Linked DNA regions of Daphnia pulex. The protein of the gene in region 1 purifies or fractionates together with the protein of each later gene. This does not show direct contact. Links are inferred from orthologs where the notes say so. Each region holds a gene or a part of one and is shown on either strand. Other genes may lie near its edges.

Region 1 (2,965 bases):
GTTTAGGATCCCGTCCTCAGTCTAAAATTTATATAATATCAAGATCCTACAGGATGATCCAAATGACGGATTTGGTCCATCAGGTGATTATTACGAACAGTACGTTCTTCTTCTTCAGAGTAAAGAAGGCGGTCAAGGTCGGGGAAGTCCCGGTTGAGATCGACACTGTTGTTGTTGGCTCGACCAATCAAGTAGTTATCTCCTCCCTTTGTTTAATTGTATAAGTTCGTGATCGTTTTCTCAAGTATTAAAATTAAAATTTACAGCAGCAGTGGCCATTTCCCAGCCATCTGGATTCATGCTGGGCATCAAGTGAATACGAGTCAAGTGGATCAGAGATCTAATGGACTCATTACCGGCCATATACTGTTCGCACAGGTAGTCGGCCATCTTTAGGAGAAGTTCCCGTCCCAAAACTTCATTTCCGTGCATATTGGCAATATATTTAAATTCTGGCTCCACTAGAGTAAAACAAAACAAAAAATAAATAAATAAGAAAATGTTACGGAATAATTTTTACAAGTCAAGATAGATAACAACTTACAGAGTTCATGGTATCCTGGCTCGTCCGAGAATTCAATCAACAGAAGTGGGTTTCCAGTAACCGAATTTTCACTGAGAGCGTACACTTTGGTGATATTTGGGCACCTGGAGTGAACGTCTTCCAAAATGGTTGCCAATTCTTCGTTGTTGTGGTGCTTGAATTGGAAAGCTGCTTGAACGACTGCCGGGGAAATCAAGACGATACAAAAAACAAGCGTCACCAAAGCTAAGCACATCTTCGATGCAGCCATCCCGTTTTAGTAATAGTTGCTGTACGACAAACACATCCAGCAAGATCCGCGGAAGGGCGCGCTCGAAAGGTCCTCTTATCTTTTTTCAACTGCAACTCCCACGCGAAGTCTTTCCTCGAGATATAGCCAGATACGCAGATGCTCACGCATAAGCTTGACAATCTATGAGACAAACAATACCGTGAGTCGTTCAAAGCGACTGCGCATAGGCGACTGGATCCCACCTTCCTATTTATCGATCCACTGCCTTGGTTTTTCTTTCATTTACGGTTCTGTCTCATCCATCCCCATCCATCATTCATTCCCGCGACCCACATTAAAACAATTTGTTCATAAAATGTTAATCGAATATTGCATTCGTTAACGTCACTAAAAATTTATAAAAGTACAAAAATGGCTAGAAACATGGCAGAGCTATAGAATACTTCGTTAGAATGTTTTTTTTTATTTCAAATTTAAAAAAATTTTAGTTGAAAGAAATTATTAGTTTTTAAAATCTGGCAACATCTAGAGCACGTTGAGACTTGAGATTTGAGAAGGCGGTTTCTAGTCTTCGACTTTCAACACGTTTCACAACAGTTGCATGATTTTCAACGAATAAAACTAAAAAATGGCTAAAGAAAGCAAGGATAAAACAAGTACAGCTGTATTACAGTACTTTATCATGCAAAACAGGCCATTTGCTGTCAACGATCTTTTACAAAGTGCACAGCTTAAAGATTTTGGGAAGGCTGCTGTTCAGAAAACATTGGATCAATTTGTTGTGGTATTTGGGAGTAGTTTCATTTTTATTGCTTTCTTATGTTGTAGAATTTCGTCTTTGTTACATTTAGGCTGGGAAAGTAATGGAAAAGATTTATGGAAAACAGAAAGTTTATGCCATTAACCAAGATCTGGTTTCGTCACCTGCTGGTGACTTGAATATCGCTGAAATAGATGCTAAAATATCTGAACTCACAAGACAGAATGTAGAAGATGAGGCTTTCATTAAAAAAGCTGAAAGTGAGCTGAAAATTCTGAACTCTACATTGTCGATAGCAGAAGCTACTTCTCAACTGAAAATGGTATTTTGTTTTCTATTTTGTTTACTTATTATGTTCTTTGAGGTGAACTTGTCTTTGTTTTGCAGCTGTGTGAAGAAAATGAAACAATGGAATCAAAGCTAAAGGATTTGTCCCAAAATAAAGTGAAACTTTCTGCTGCTGACTTCAAGAAAGCGTGTGTAATAAAGGAAAAGACTGCATCTGAGTTACGAAAACGAAAGAGGATATGTGGAGATATGCTTGACCAGATTTTGGAAAGCTACCCCAAGGGAAAAAAAGCTTTGCTCGAAGAAGTTGGAGTAGAAACTGATTAAGAAAACTGTATTGTCCCTTTCACCAAACCAAATATTCTCTTCTGTTGTCCAAGGGTTTGGTAACATTATTTTAAAACAAGTTCATTATTGATGTTTCAATATATCATTTATTCAGGACATGTACCAAAGCCTTACATTCTGAAGAATTTCATCTATGGTTTACAAAAATTAAAGATTGGTGTGTCAAACAACGAAAATTAGCGTAGGAAACTGTGCCGGTATAAAATTTAAACAAAGACATCACACTTTGTCGAAGGACTTTGGTATATATCAGACTGTAATGGGAGCCTCACCCACTTTGGTCAAGGATAAAGCATTTGCGGCCATGGGAACAAGATACTCTTTAGGAACAAGACCTTTCCTGTTTCTTGCTTGGACTAGCCAGCTGGCTCCGCTTTTGGTGAGCACCTGAACAATTTCTCCACTGTTAATCGATAACTCCAAATTGTTTGTAGCGACGTACGCCCATCTGGCTTTGTATAGTTCTTTCTTAGGTTTACTGATAATCGTAACGGTTGAATCATTCAAATTTTTTGATTCAGTTGGAAGTTGTCCAGAGGCTACTTCCTCGTTTTTCATCACACGCCGCATAAGCTTTCGATTCAGCTCATCTGCTAAATTTATGGATTCGCCCGTCTTAATGGTCAAAGGCGAACGAATGGGCGCAGGGGGTCTTGGAGGTGGCTCTCTTTTGTTACTGTTAGAGTTGTCAATATTGCTAGCTTTTACTCCGGGATTAAAAGTAGAATAGGACATTTTCCCCTGTTTACCCCCTGTTTCTTTGATTCCGGTCAATGATCCATTTACATTGGCA
Region 2 (3,255 bases), on another chromosome or scaffold:
TTATTATTTGTTACATGCAAAATAATTGCTTAAATTTGCGTACACCGTCTAAACGTCTAATAATGAAAATTTGCAATCCAAACAGCTTTTCCGCTATTCATCAGTACCATTTTATTCATGGATAGCCATTATACCGATTGCATTTTGGTTTATGAAGCCTGCTCGAATTGTAAGTACTTCATGCCGACAGAATATTGTTAAACATACCTAAAATTGAATTGTTACTAGGGCGTTCAAACTCTGATCCACTGTGCAGTATCAGAGGAAACGGAAAATGAAACGGGACTTTTTTATCGTGACTGCAAGGTTTATCAAAGTCAACTTAAAGCTAGCTCAAATTCCACAATCATTAACAAATTATGGGAGCTAAGCTGTAAAATGTGTAAGATTGAATGGTAGTAATTTCAGTTCAATACAATTATTAGTAAAGTGACATGATCATTTCTGTATTATCAGTTACCTTAGCTTAACCTATCATAATTCATTTTTCTGGTTCACTAAGACTTCTTTGTGGCCTTAAAAGTTTCATCAGCACATGTGCATCAGCTGGCTCAATTCTCTTGTAGTATTGTTCTTTTGTTTCAACAATTTCAAAGCCAAATTTCTTGTAGAAGTCAATTGCACTTTGGTTGTTAACTTGAACATGGCTGTTTTGAAAAGTTAAGTCTTAAAAACATATTTTTTTTTCTCAATAATAAAATATAATTACAGAAAAATGCTATGAAAATCCCCATCCTTTTCCACGTAGTTTAGGACATGTTCCAACATTTTGGCACCAATACCCCTTTTCCTGTATGGAGCTAGGCATCCCAGGGTCATGATGTACAATCTTCTTGATCCATCTAAAATATCGATCCTACAGCATACAGCTCCCACCACAATGTCATTATAGTATGCTGCACAATAAAATGTGATAAATGTAAGGAGAAATAAAAGGAAAATCAAGTATGTGGTACCTAGCTTAGCCAATTCTCCTGCTTCTAGAATATCTTTATAGAACTTGTCGTTGTAGGAAACTGGAAATACCACTTGATTCAATCGTTTCAGTTGTTGTAGGTTGTGAGGTGTGACATCCCCCAGTTCTATTGTTGCCCTGAAATAAAATAATCCTTTGTAATTGTCATCGGCATGCAAAACGGGATATTCAGTGGCAGTCACACATACAGCTTGTTAAGACTTTAAGGTAAGCTATAATAGAGTTTGTTTTTAAAAACACTGTGTGGAATGCTTTACCAATTACTTCCCCAAAAACATTCAGTTTATTTACCTGGTCATTTTTGTTCCAGTCAAATTTCAAGGGGGCTCACGTTTTGATCGATGTGATTTCGGAAATTTACAGCAGACAGAACTCGAAACCGAAAAAACCCATGGTGCGGCGACGACATCGACAGATCAAAATTTTCATAAACAATATTTGCAATCATTCACAGTTTCAATAATAAAATTCCACGTTGCTAATAAAATGAATCGAAAAAATAAAAAAAAATCCATACGAAGTCCGTACGAATCAAACTTAAAAAAATTGCATTATCTGTGAATGCCTCTCAAGGTGGCTCAACTGGCAACGTCACAAGATTTTTTGAATTTCTCAGTTAAAATTCACTTGGTTAAAGAGTAGTAGTTAAACGTCAAGAAAACGTGTCGTCTCGTCTTATTACAATATAAATTTGAGGAAAAGAAGCTATTAAGTCAAACAGTTAAAATATTGACATTAAAATGACATCCAAAAAACGTGGACTTAGCCTGGAGGAGAAACGTAAAGGCATGATGGAAATTTTTTATGAAAAGAAAGACTTCTTCCAGCTTAAAGAATTAGAAAAAATTGCCCCAAAAGAAAAAGGAATTGTACAAGGAACAGTAAAAGATGTGATTCAAAGTTTGGTGGATGATGGAATGGTTGATACAGACAAAATTGGCACATCAATTTATTTCTGGGCCTTTCCTAGTAAGGCAATCAATGCAAAAAAACAGAAACTAGTGCAACTGGAAAATTCTAGTCAACAACTGAAGAAGTTGAGAGTTGATGTTGAAGCAAAGTTGGCAGAAAAAAGAGTAAGTTGAGGCGTCATTAGATAATTTTCTATCTTTTTTGTTTTTGTGCACTTAGACTTAACTGACTGTCGTAATTTAGGTTGGACAACAGGATGATGATACAAAAGACGAATTATTACAAAAGTTAAAGGAAGCACAAGTACAAAACGCTGAATTGAAAAGAAGTCTGATTGAATACCAAGAACTTGATCCTGATGAACTTGAAAAACTAAAAGCAGAATCTCAGGTGAGTCTTTCTTGTGTTGGCAGTTTCTTTCATAGTATATTATAGCAATTGCTCTCACAGGTTTCTTTGGAGGCTGCGAACCGTTGGACAGATAATATTTTCGCCGTCAAATCCTGGTGCAAATCAAAGTTTTTTATGGAAGATAACCAATTAAACAAAGCATTTGGAATTCCGGAAGAATTGGACTATTTGTAGAAGCCTCAAGAATGCTTTCTGTAAATAATTTAGAAGCATTGTTTAAAGCTTTTTGAATTCTTCCTTGTCTCTTTCCCATGTCCTTGACTGAATTCTGTAAGAACCTGGATACTTTCAACGATATTTTCCTAACATGTATAGTTTTCTGTGTAAAATACTTCAAATTTTGAAGTGCGTTTAATACAGAATTCCGTTTTTTTTTTCATTAACAGTGTTATTGTTTGGTCATTGATTGTCTACCAAAAACTTTAATAACAACACGGCGTATTATTTAGTTTCTATGAACAGATTAGAGAAACGTGAAAAAGTCGGAGTTATATGGTCGAGCTCTGACCATTCGGATTCTTACGTTTACTTTATTTCTTCTTGTTTACGTCTTGTGCTTATTTGTTTTGAAACTGATGTTCCTAGGATGGTAGTAGTTTCTAGCGTCTCGATAGGACAAATAGTGGAGAGCCTGTCTGCGCATCTGCCACATTTTATGCCTTTGCTTCCGAGTGGATAAAAACCACCACTTTTGCGCGCTGTCGACTCAGTGTTCAGCAATACACTCAATTGGCAACAGGTGAACCCTAGTATTTTAGATCTTTTCCCACATTGAATTTTAAAAGGTAAAACATAGCATTCTCATAGTAAGGAACGTAAATTAAGCTACATTTTTACCGTTCCGTGTATCGTAGAGTGCATGAACTTCTAGATTTCCATTTGATAATACGATTTTTGTTGTGTTTTGAACTCTTTTGCATATTAATGCAGTAGATCAAGTGCGTCATCATGTTACG

What was found.
Region 2: the proteins of homologous-pairing protein 2 homolog (region 1) and meiotic nuclear division protein 1 homolog purify together in Homo sapiens (co-immunoprecipitation; 6 studies listed by BioGRID and IntAct, counting the BioPlex papers as one, with this or other methods). This does not show direct contact. The link is inferred for Daphnia pulex from reciprocal best matches to the Homo sapiens genes PSMC3IP and MND1.

What each region holds. Positions count from the first base shown.
Region 1 is NC_060019.1:10,186,686-10,189,650, reverse strand, and holds homologous-pairing protein 2 homolog, read left to right. Parts: upstream 1-1,316; 5' UTR 1,317-1,404; coding exon 1,405-1,560; intron 1,561-1,627; coding exon 1,628-1,858; intron 1,859-1,923; coding exon 1,924-2,151; 3' UTR 2,152-2,268; downstream 2,269-2,965. Other genes in the region: carboxypeptidase E-like, read right to left, coding at 51-206, 265-461, 545-794; uncharacterized protein LOC124191075, read right to left, coding at 2,422-2,965. UniProt on the Homo sapiens protein: Plays an important role in meiotic recombination. Stimulates DMC1-mediated strand exchange required for pairing homologous chromosomes during meiosis.
Region 2 is NC_060018.1:2,102,708-2,105,962, forward strand, and holds meiotic nuclear division protein 1 homolog, read left to right. Parts: upstream 1-1,586; 5' UTR 1,587-1,716; coding exon 1,717-2,052; intron 2,053-2,131; coding exon 2,132-2,278; intron 2,279-2,338; coding exon 2,339-2,473; 3' UTR 2,474-2,682; downstream 2,683-3,255. Other genes in the region: retinol dehydrogenase 12-like, read left to right, coding at 86-169, 229-399; probable N-acetyltransferase san, read right to left, coding at 482-647, 710-896, 957-1,093, 1,268-1,275. UniProt on the Homo sapiens protein: Required for proper homologous chromosome pairing and efficient cross-over and intragenic recombination during meiosis.